Arabidopsis thaliana: one gene and its partner. The protein of the gene in region 1 binds, or shares a complex with, the protein of each later gene. Each region holds a gene or a part of one and is shown on either strand. Other genes may lie near its edges.

What was found.
Region 2: NRPB12 (region 1) and NRPB10 share a complex: the UniProt entries of both Arabidopsis thaliana proteins name them as parts of the RNA polymerase II.

Annotation. Positions count from the first base shown.
Region 1 is NC_003076.8:16,420,954-16,427,386, reverse strand, and holds NRPB12 (DNA directed RNA polymerase, 7 kDa subunit), read right to left. Parts: upstream 3,469-6,433; 5' UTR 3,338-3,468; coding exon 3,298-3,337; intron 3,142-3,297; exon of another isoform or gene 2,998-3,141; intron 2,915-2,997; coding exon 2,822-2,914; intron 2,489-2,821; coding exon 2,466-2,488; 3' UTR 2,063-2,465; downstream 1-2,062. Other genes in the region: AT5G41025 (uncharacterized protein), read right to left, coding at 1-197, 436-708; AT5G41020 (myb family transcription factor), read left to right, coding at 1-1,504; YSL4 (YELLOW STRIPE like 4), read right to left, coding at 3,690-4,618, 4,761-4,893, 5,006-5,195, 5,296-5,433, 5,527-5,624, 5,725-5,897, 6,126-6,433. UniProt on the Arabidopsis thaliana protein: DNA-dependent RNA polymerase catalyzes the transcription of DNA into RNA using the four ribonucleoside triphosphates as substrates. Component of RNA polymerase II which synthesizes mRNA precursors and many functional non-coding RNAs.
Region 2 is NC_003070.9:3,860,478-3,865,991, reverse strand, and holds NRPB10 (RNA polymerases N / 8 kDa subunit), read right to left. Parts: upstream 3,594-5,514; 5' UTR 3,473-3,593; coding exon 3,437-3,472; intron 3,234-3,436; coding exon 3,175-3,233; intron 2,409-3,174; coding exon 2,314-2,408; intron 2,213-2,313; coding exon 2,187-2,212; 3' UTR 1,918-2,186; downstream 1-1,917. Other genes in the region: AT1G11480 (eukaryotic translation initiation factor-like protein), read left to right, coding at 1-463, 558-736, 856-892, 978-1,039, 1,165-1,624; AT1G11470 (Pentatricopeptide repeat (PPR) superfamily protein), read left to right, coding at 5,470-5,514. UniProt on the Arabidopsis thaliana protein: DNA-dependent RNA polymerase catalyzes the transcription of DNA into RNA using the four ribonucleoside triphosphates as substrates. Component of RNA polymerase II which synthesizes mRNA precursors and many functional non-coding RNAs.

The DNA.
Region 1 (6,433 bases):
TGTTGATGCTGTGAAGAAGAAATCGAAAAAGAGAAGTAAGGAGACAAAGGCTGATTCCGAAGCTGAGGATGATGGTGTGGAGAAGAAATCCAAGGAGAAAAGTAAGGAGACAAAGGTTGATTCTGAAGCTCATGATGGTGTGAAGAGGAAGAAGAAGAAGAGCAAGAAAGAATCTGGTGGTGATGTGATAGAAAATACTGAAAGCTCCAAAGTATCTGATAAGAAAAAGGGAAAAAGAAAGCGGGATGATACTGATTTGGGAGCTGAAGAAAACATAGACAAGGAGGTGAAGAGGAAGAACAACAAGAAGAAACCAAGTGTGGATTCAGATGTTGAAGATATCAATTTGGACTCTACAAATGATGGAAAGAAGAAAAGGAAGAAAAAGAAACAAAGTGAGGATTCAGAGACTGAAGAAAACGGCTTGAACTCTACCAAAGACGCAAAGAAGAGAAGGAAGAAGAAGAAGAAGAAGAAGCAAAGTGAAGTCTCTGAGGCTGAAGAAAAGTCTGATAAAAGTGATGAAGACTTGACCACCCCATCTACATCAAGTAAAAGGGTGAAGTTTTCTGACCAAGTGGAGTTTTTTCCTAGTGATGATGATGAAGGAACGGAAGATGATGATGAAGAAGAAGTTAAGGTGGTGAGGGGTAAGCGGTTTACAAAAGAAGAAGATGAGATGGTAAAGAATGCTGTATTAGAATACATTGATAACCATGCTTTAGGAGATGAGGGGATAAAGATGGTTATGGAATGCAAGGCATACCCACAACTTAAAGGCTGTTGGAAAGAAATTACATCTGCTTTACCTTGGAGGACTTATAATAGTGTGTATCATCGTGCACATACTATATTTGAAGCAGGATCTCAGGGGATATGGACGAAAGAGGATATTGAACTCGTTATGGAGTTTCAAAAGACACACGGGAATGATTGGAAAACACTTGCAGATGCAATGGGTAAGCACAGGAAGCATGTGAAAGACGCTTGGAGGAGAGGAAGATTGGCAGGTAAGAAGAAAGGACATTGGATGAGGGAGGAGTATCAAAACCTCTTTGACCTTGTCAACAAAGACCTTAGAATGAAAGCATTCAAAGAGAAACACTCAAAACATGGTATGCTCAAAGATAACATCCCTTGGATGGCTATAAGCGACGTACTTGAAACACGGGACCACGTGACTTGCTGCCAGAAATGGTATGAGCAGTTGATATCACCAATGGTAGCAAAGGGAATGTGGGCTAACGTTGATGACTATAGGCTCTTGGAAGAGCTTTTGAAACTGGATGCTGCTTGTATCGACGATGTGGATTGGGATAATCTTTTGGAGAATCGAGATGGAGAAGCTTGTAGAAAACGGTGGAACCAGATGATCATTCATATCGGCGTACCGAAATCGAAAACATTTGCAGAACAAGTTGAGATTTTGTCTGACAGGTATTGCCCTGACATAGCTGAGGACAGAGAGGATTTTGACAACAGACCCTATGATCCTGAAGATTAAGTTTGGAACCATACCTTACATGTTTTTCGGTACTTTTTATTGTTTGATAATATGTGTTGGTACTTTCTTATGTCAGCAGATAGAAACTCTGAGAATGTATTTGATTTTGATAACCCAGACTATTATATAAATGCTACAGTTGGTTTTGACAAAAAAAAAAAAAAAATGCTACAGTTGGTTTTGTTTGGAGCTTTTGTTGGAAGAGTTTATCAGCGACAACAATGAGTTTAGCCAGGTTTTAGATACAGTCACCAAGGACGATAGCAATGGCAATTAAGGCTTGTAAATTCGGTAATGAATGATATGAAATAGTGAAGTAACCACCCGAAGAGAGTACTAGTATTTAGTAACGTATAGATTATTTCATAGCATTTGGTATTCGAGATAAATGTATCATGAGATTGAAAACTCATAGTTTGTATTTGATGAAAGCTAATAGAGAGCATATTTGCCGCGATTATTCTCTTGTGTTGACTCTTCTATTTGTAGCCATAGCCTATAGGACTTACCAAAGGTTTCGTTAGACAGATATTAACACACTAATTTATCCATCTGCTTGGTACTAAAAAGGTATTTTGAGAGTAACATTGTGGTGGGTTCTCTTCATGTCTCTCTTCGATTTCTTCCGAACACTTAATATGTAGCAAACAAGATTGATATATGGTAGTCACTACCTTTTCCACCACCAGAATCTGATCAACTAAATGCAGAGTACACTAAAGAACAAAGGTAGCAAAACAACGAGAGATTATAGCCAATCAAGGATTATAGCAATGTGAACTTAGTTATTCCAAGAATTACATCTATCAAAACGGTAAAGTCATTACACAGTCACACTGTGACCAAATCAAATCGAACTGGCAATGTAGCAATCACCATGTCGATATATATATCACAAACAGTGCCAAAAAGTCTCAACCCATCTTAACAGACTATGAACCACCTTCAGGAGTAGTAGTTCTCAGCGAGCTTCGTATTGAACAACTGCAAGAGAATAAACCATCAAATAAATTAGCCGGAAACAAGTTTACAACATCTACATTTTGTACAAGAAAACCAACAGATTAACAATCTCAAGATAAATTCGGAAACCGGATCCTTAGAACATTTGCGTTATATAAGACACACTGAAAATCGTTCCATCAGTATCATAAACTATGATCAAGACTTAAAAAAGGATCCCGATATCATGTATATGTTGAGACGCATTCAAAATGGTGCCATCACTTTTATAAACTAGGAACAAGATCCAAAAAAAGAGGAATCAAAGAAAGCTAAAAACATTACAAAACAAAAGGAGGATTAAGAATAAGTCACCTCTACGGGTACGCTTCTTGTAGAGAATACGGTACCCACACTCTCTGCATTGGATCACATCCCCAGACTTCAAAGTGTTCTCTTGACCACAATCTGATGATACAGAAAATAAGAAATTAAGCAAACCCATAAAACGAAGACAACCTTTTTACTTATGAATTTTGGTTTAAAAGTGTATATGTCTGAGGCTGCTTGGGAGAAGCTTGATACTTAGCAGAAGCAAAGCTCCTCCTCAAAAAGACCTCAAGTCAAATAGATCAATACAATACAGTAAAGTATTGATGATCAAGATTGATTTATGCCTCCTAACTAAGCCAGATTATGAAATTTCCTAATAGATTAGGATTCATATGGCTACTCAAAAGAGGCAACTTTAGCATTTACTTTCACAAAGCTACAATCTTTTACAGATACTAACAAAACTTTGATTTCAAAGCAAAATTAGATGTTCGATGAAGTTTTCAAGTCGAGCTTACCTCCGCAGACGTAAGTAACGGGTTCGGGCGCTGGATCCATGATTCAACAAAGAAACAGTACGCAGAAGTTGAATTTGTTTCAAGCCACCGGACAAGATGTAAACAAAACCTTGAGCGTCTAAATTTTCTCAATTGGGATTTTAGGGTTTTTGAGGAGGAATTAGAGGTTTTAATAATTTCGGTCGAAAAGACGAGGAAAGAGATTCGTATGGGCTTCTTAACAAAAGTCTATGGGCTTACAGAATAAGCCCAAATAAAGTTTCGTTGGTCAACCTTGTCTGTTTGACTTTATGCCACATACTTGTTGCTATTGGCACTTTGTGTTCTAGAGTGAGATATAAAAACTCTATTATCTGCCATAATGCAACAAATTTTTAACATGATAACAATGTCTAGGATGGTCTAAAGTACATACAAATGGGTGGATTGATTCTTAATATAGAAAGAATTGCGGATGGGATGGTCCAAATTCCATCTCCGCAGATCAGACCTGAAGCTACTGCACCCGAGTAATCATCTGCGTCTTTCTTATTCATCCGTTCCCATACGAGCATTATCACGGTTCCTACGAACATGTCGATGGCGAAGTAAGCTCCTATGTAGAATGGACCAGCCATTGCCATTGGAAGTGGTATCAACTTAGAGATCTTTGGTGGTGTCATGTCTCTAATTAGATTTACAATCAGAGCAGCGATGAAGAATCCACAACAAAGTGCCAAACAGTGTTTGGGCAGTTTGGCAAAGCCTTCGACCCCGAGAATAGCCATTTCGCGGTAGATGACCGCGTAAGGTGCTTTGTATAGACCATCAGGATCTCCAATATCAAAAGCAGTCCAAAACAGCCAGAACGTGAGAGGAGCGATTATGCAACCCATTGCTGTACCCAAAAGCTGAGTTACAAACATGGATTTTGCAGATGATAGTGTGAGGTAACCTGTTTTAAAATCCTGCATGAGATCCGCTGCAGTTGAGACGATTGACATCATAATGCCACATGCTGCTAAACCGGCAATGACTCCACCATTATTTCCTACAATTGAAGCAACGATGAAAAGACCAGTCTTTCCGTAGGTTGAAGGCATGCTCATATCTGTGAGCCCGGCTCCATAAGAATTGCAAAAAGCAAGACCCGGGGCAACTAAGTATGAACAGAGGACAAAGTACCATTTCAATGGTGGGAATATCAACGGGATTATAGCGGTTGAAATAGCTGCAAGACCCACATAACCAGAAACCGCAAACTCGAGGGGTATACGGTCCTTGAGAAATATGATATCTCTTTTCTTCTTCTCCCGCATTAATACTGAGGTCTTACTTTTATCTGAATTAAGAATGGAGAAAGAAACTCTTAAGAAAATATTTGAGACAGACGTTGTCAGTATGGTCATGAGAGACACCTTTATTAATAACTATGACTATTACTAACAAACGCGATTGTGAATCAGGATCATATATATTCGCACCTAAAATGTCGGTAAAGACAGGTAGGTTGTGTTGTCTGGAGCTTTTGTTGCAGATTTCCTTCACAGTGACAACAATGATCTTAATGAGGTTGTAGAGACCGTCACCAAGGATGATAGAAATGGCGATAAATACCTATAAGTACAGTAATTATATGAAAGAGAATCAGTAACCACCACAATGAGAGTACCTATGAAATTCATCTACTAACATTAAATTCTTCCTACTTAATCGGTTTATTGTGTACCTTATATCCATAGAGACCTTTGAAATCGTTGGCTTTAAGGTCAGCTGGATACCAGTCCCCAGCATGCTGTGATATAAATGGCCAGAGAAAACCCCAAGAGATGATAGCACCAAGAAGAACCGAACAGTTCACCAAATGGGGACATATCATGCCACATCCAATAAAAGTAGGACTGAAATCAAAGTAAAACCTGCACAGCAGAAAAAATCATGACTCGTTACCAATTATATCCACATGCTAAACCATTCTCATTTACTTATTGTTAAACTGTACGAAATTGGTTAACTTACGTGTTCTTGAATAGAGTCAAACCAAGTGTGGGAAAGTGATCAAACCCACATGCACCTCCAATACCACTAAAGAACCACTTGAAGCAACTCCAAACTAAGCTAAGGCTCAGGTATTTCCCAAGACATTTGACTTGTTTTCTGATGTGAATAATATTGGAGATAAATTTTTAATGAAACTCAAGCAATGTTTTGCAGGGAGTTGAATATTGAAGATGAATCTCTGACAATTACCCTGCAAGCTCAGCTCCAGTATTGTTGTGGAAACTGTTAATCAACATTGCTGTAGCGGTTCCACTGGGATACGTAAGCTTGTAATCCAAAATCATCACCTAAGATACACTATTGAATAAGGATCAACAGATCAAACAATAGTGTTCTCTTAGATATTTTGTTTTGATTAATACTAATATCGCAGTAATGAGACGCTACCTTGCGAAGTGGAACGAGACAGAAGAGACCGAGGAAGCTAACTACAAATAAAAAGCCAGTCATCCACCACAATCCAGGATTTATAACATCTTCAGGATTGTTTCCAGGATAATCAGAACCAATGAGCTTATATGTCCTTTCATCCATAGCTATCAAATACGAACCAAATCCTCCTAAAAAAACAAGAAACTATATCAGATTAGGCACACAAAAAAATCAAACTTGATCATCATAAATCTGGAATAGCTACAGTTCCCTTCAGCAAAGTCATCAAGTGGATCCAAAGTTAGTATCATCCATATCTCCCATTGTTCATCATCAACACATAGGAATTGAAACTAAACGTAACCAAATCAAGAAGATTACTATTAACCCATATCTAAGCAAGTAACGATTTTTACCGCTATAAGCAAGGCCGTAGCAGGAGACAACGCAAGTCTGAATAACAGTGTTCTCTTGCTTAGTAAAGGGTTTAGATAAAAACCCTAATTTAGACAAGAACCCAGTCCACGACTTGATGAAGAAGAAGCCGAGAAGACCAGCAGCTACATTAAGCGAAGGAATGATTCCGATTGTTAGATTGAGCTTATGGGTAATGATACAGAACAAAATCCCTAACAAGGCGCTAGAGATCAAGCCTCGAATCGTGATCTGTTCCTTCCACTCGGGTACATATTCACCGTGATCTAGATTCGTTTCTGGTAACAAC
Region 2 (5,514 bases), on another chromosome or scaffold:
TGTTTCGAATTTGGTCCATACAAGTGCGCTTGACCAAGTGTCTTCAGGAGGATGGCAGTCCAAGCTTTTGGTTCCTTCTCAGATGGGTTTTGATGTTGTTAAGCATTCAGAGATAGATACCAGAGTTTATAAGACTAATAGCCCTGTGATTAGTCAAGGGGTTGAGCCACATGGAACACATGTAGAACGGGCACTGATTGCTGAAGATGGGATCCAGCGTGGGAAAAAACTCTCCCGTGAGTATGAGAAAATCCCTGGTCCAACTTATGTGGATGCTAAGGAAGCGAAAATTGTAGCAAACACCAACGATAAACCTCATCCAAAATACTCTGACGTTAAGCCTGCTGGACATTTGGTGCAGCCAACTGCCCCTTCTGAAGTTGTGGAAAGACCTAAGCTGAACCTGCTTCCTCGGACAAAACCACTTGAAAGTGTGGAGAAACCTGTGAATGACGAAAAACTGGTATAGTTGTTACAAGTTTCTGAACTGCCACTTTAGTTTTCAGGTTTCTTTTTTCCTCAACTATGTTTCTGATACCTCAGTTTTGTATCTGCAGGAAAATAGTGCTTCAGTCCTTATACAACGTGAAAATGCGACACAGAAAAGTTTCAACAATTCAAAATCTGGTTTGTCTACAGATGAGATTCCTAACCAGCCGGCTGAGCGGCCCAAGTTGAATCTGAAGCCTGTGGCACAGTTGCTTGAGCAGCCAGAAGTTAAAACTGAAAAGGACAGGTAACAATGTGGTACTTACATTTTTTTGTCCCAGCTCGGTAATAATTATTTTGGAGCTTGGGGACATAACTATAGTTATATAGAAGAATTGTTCTTAAAATTTGTACTGGCTGGTGCAGAAGTGCGGTTTTTGGTGGTGCCAGACCACGAGAGCTGGTGAGTGCAGTTTGTTTCATCTTGTTGTATAACTCACTCTTGTTATGTTGTCCATTTGTTTATCATCATTTGATTTCCTGGACAGGTGTTGAAGGAGAGAGGCATTGATGAGCCCGAGCATCACAAATTGGATCAACCGACAGATAGGTAGAACGGGTTTCTCTACCCACTCACATTCTGTGTATACTTTCTGCGATCCAACACTTACGATTCCATTGAGACCAACTATCTAATTTAAAGTTCTGTTTTTGTTTTTTCTTTTATATCAAAAGGATGGTCCTCAAACCGATTGAAAGAGTTCCAGAGCATGCAAGTCAAAGGCCAGTGAGTTCTCCACGTGACATGAGAACGAGGAAATTCGACCAAAAGGATGGGCGAAATGTAAGCGACATTGCCAGATCCGAAACTCAGAGGAGAAACTGGCGTGAAAATGAAAACAAGAGCGCAAGACAGCAACAGCAGACTCAGGAGAAGACAAGACATCCATCACCAGAGACATGGCGAAAGCCGGTTCCCCAGAAACTGGATTCACCAAATGGAACAGGGATTCGTCACGGAAAAGCAGCTTCTGCTCTTGAGCTAGCTCAAGCCTATTCTCCTTTCTCTGACCCTAAATCTGGAATTGGAAGCAGCAACAGTTTTAACAAAAGCCGCAACAACCAAACGCAGCAGCAACCCTTCTCTCGGTTGGTAGGATCGACAACAACAGGAAGACAGATTAATGGGTACTGAGTCATCGTTCGTTTGTTCTCTCGAATTGGTTTTAGTCCCGATTAATTGGATCTTAATAACACATCTTATGTGGTTTGGGATCGTTATTGGAGATTTGAATGTGATATGTTCCCTTAAGAACGGGGTCGGGTTACATAAGCCAGATATGATTACACTGTGTTCTTCATTCTTCTTTGGTTATACATTTTATTTTAACCGTTCGTTTGGAAGATTTGAAAACTCTTGCCCGAGCCTGAACACACTAAACAGTTGGACGATTCTGTTGTACTTGCGTTTTGTATACAAAAGGTTATGAAGACCAGTGACTTTTAACTCTTTTCTCAAAGGTTTTCAGTTATGGCCATGAAAATCACCTCAATAATACTAATGAAACATGAATCCAAAGGAGAAATCTTCAAGGTCAGGAAATCATGAGATTGAATCACACGAGAAAGTAACTGACACACATATATAATTTTAGATGGAGTTGAAGGGTCTACACCACATACACCAAATGTTTTCATACATACTAATATTTAAGCCTCTAAAGAGGAAAACTTTTTCAGCAGATTTGCATCCTCTTCTAACTGTTGTCTGATTTCTCCAGAGCTGCAAGGAAAAGTACGTGGGTACCAGTAAATAAATCGAAAAGGACAATAACGTCCGAGTCAAAAGATACACAACATATGATAAGAGTTTGGAGAGTATACTGTTGTAGTTGAGAAGCTTCTCAATCAGATCAACATGAGTCATTAGCATACGCCTGCAGCAGTATCTGACTAGCTGGAGTGCATCAAGTGCGTCCCTGCAAAATAATAAGGATATTGTAACTTCATACCTATTGAGGAGATTGAACAACACTAAGAGCCAAAAGAAAGACAAAACCAACACAGATTGAATATCTAGACACCAAGCTTAAATCCTTCTACAGGTGTAAAGAGAATCATAAGTCATCAAGCCTTCAGTCATACTTATAACAGTCGAGATAGAATCTACAACTAAACAAGATAGGCACAACAATAGTCTGTTCCAATAACATATAAAGAGCAGAGCATTAGCTTAACCCTATAAACGATTAACCCTTGGTTTGCTTCTCCAATAGCGAAATTGTTGAACTAATCCCATACTTCACACGTATTATGAACCATTCTCTCATGTTCAGACAAAGTATTCTATTTTCACACAAAGAATGATTAGTCCAATAAGAATCATGTAGATGGGCACAAGTCTAATCAAAAGACCTTAAGTCTTACTTTCTACTTCTATCAAATATCAATTGTATAGAAAATCTAGATAGGCACATAGAGATTATATAGGCAGGACATAGTCTCTTCCAATGACACAGACAGTAAAACACAAACACAGAAGATTATAAAAAGCTAACTCCTTCATCAGCAAATCTATTTTATAGCTTCTGTTATCAATTAGAGAAGTGTGTTAGCTAATATGAAACTTCACAGACCCAATACGAAATCTGGGCTAATTTCTCTAAAACGCAAAGCAATTACTCTCTTTTTGACACAAAGTATGATGATTAGAGCAGCAAGAAGTGAGAATCATTGTAAGCTTACCCTTCAGTGTAGTCGAGCTGGAGAAGATCAAGATACTGATCCCATTTGTTTCCAATCACCTAAACCAATCACAAGGTGAAAGCTTAGTAAAGCTCAATACTTTATTTCTCTAATCGACCCAACATGTATCCAACCGATTAAAAACATTCGTGTCAAATACAGAGAGTAAAGATCTCTTCTTAGCCAAATTTGGAGTAACTAAAACCCTATAAAGACGGAGTAAAACCCTAAATAAGACCAAAGCGAAGGGGAAAATATCAACCTTTCCACAAGTAAAGCAACGAACAGGGATGATCATCTTGAGCTAGTTGAAATCTGTACTTGCTCTGTCTCTCTTTCTCTGCTTGGGAATTTTAGGGTTTTTCGTTTCGTGCTTCTTTAAAAAGGTCAAGTACAACTTTGAGCTTATAACTGGGGTTAAGGAGGGCTTTCCTTAAACGACGTCGTATTTGTACGACGAGGCTTCCCCAAACCAAACGACGGTATCATTGGAAATGTGATTGACCAAAGTCAAACCCTCCCTCCGGTTTAAATTCGGTTCAGTTATATATAGTTCGATTTTTGTAGCTTGTAAGAAAATTTGTGATGGAAAACTGAAAGATACGTTCTTAAAGAGTTTGTTTCGTCTAATTATTCTTCCGTTTCTCCATTATTACCAACAAGATCAACATCTGACGGTAATTTAAAACTGGTATTCAGGTACTGAACAAGTCTGCTACATAAAAAGATTCTAGTTTAAACAAACCGACTCTGGTTAGCTCTACATCCCAAAACTCTAAAGTCTGCTGCAGAAGATTCTAATTATACTAGGAGTTAAGAAACTTCAAACACACTAAAACCCGTAGAGCTCTAAGTAAAGATGTTGATGCAAGCTTGAGCTAAATGTAACCTTCTAAGATAGATTCTGATACCTCTCCCTTGGTAAATTCCCAAACATGATAATAAAAGCATCCAGGAGACATTCATCTCGATAATAACGCCATCTTCACTCTTCAACCCGCTTTCAGTCAATGAGAGTTCATCTTCTTCAAAATCGTCCACCATTTCAGCTGAGTACAGATACCTACACTTTTCCACACCGGTATATTAGGGAAATGCATCAAACAGGTTACTTCTCTTAGAGTAAATGTCACAGTTTTAATCACTTTTACAAGCCTCAGTAGCAGATAAGATCAGGTATACAAAGACCTAAAACTGATAGTAGTAGACACACCAGAAGCACCTGATTGGAAAAGGTCGAGTAAACGGTAAAGAGAGATTGATATGATTACCTAGTTGGCTTTTGTGATGGAGACCAGAAAAAGCAGATGAGTACGAAAGATATCTATATGCACTGCCCTTAGTCTGTTATGGAATTATAAATCATCAAAGGACTGAAAGTATTGTTGGTTTCTTTATTCTTACCTTAAGCTTGTTAATGGTTGTCAACAAGGACCTGAAGATCCACTGAACACAGCAAGTTTCCAGTATAGCCCAAGAGAGCATTTTAAGAGTCATTTTCTCAAAGTGTTTAGCCAACGAGAGTGATTCGCTTATAACAAATCATAGCACACCAAGAAGCATCCTGAATGTTATGCCATTAGTGGTAGGCTTTACTATCCAATATCCACAAGTTATGAACAAAAGTAAAAGCCGAGACAATGCTTTCCTCGCAGAAGGAAAAGGTTATCACCCATACTGTAACCTCCACAGACCTTGTACCAGCGAGATAGGCGAAGTCAAAGTAGCAGTGGAGTCTTGAAACTTGGAAGCGTAAAGAGCTTCACTGTCACCGGGAACATAGAGACCGTTGGCAATTTTCGTAAATCTCAGCATCAGTAGTCTTGATCAAGCTCCCGATCAAAACAAGGAAAATTGCAGAAGACCCTAAACACTGGTAAGAGCTCACTCACTGCCACTGGTAAGCTTACTTCACTCGCTTAGAGAAGAAGAAGAAGGCTCGTGTCTACTGTGTGTGGTTGACCCGGGTCCAGTACTATTCAAAAAGTTCACACGTGTGTAGAGTTAGGGGTATTATAGACATTTCATCGTTTTATTTATTTTTACAATCTAGTAGACTGATTCATAAGTCAAACTGACAAATCGACAAAGATGTAGGTAATTGTGTAAGTAACCTACTAATATAAGAGAGATCATATCCTGATTTTAACAAGGCAACTTGATTGTTTTATATATTAGAGAATTAGGGTTATCAAAATTAGGGTTTGGAAAATGTTGGCCTTGCGCCGAATGGTATCATCAGGTTCTCTTCATCTATGGAAAAGAGAGATGAAGATCTCTACGCTTACGAGAACAATGGCTCCGTTTTCTTCTTCTTCTGCTGAGATTAAGATCGCGAGA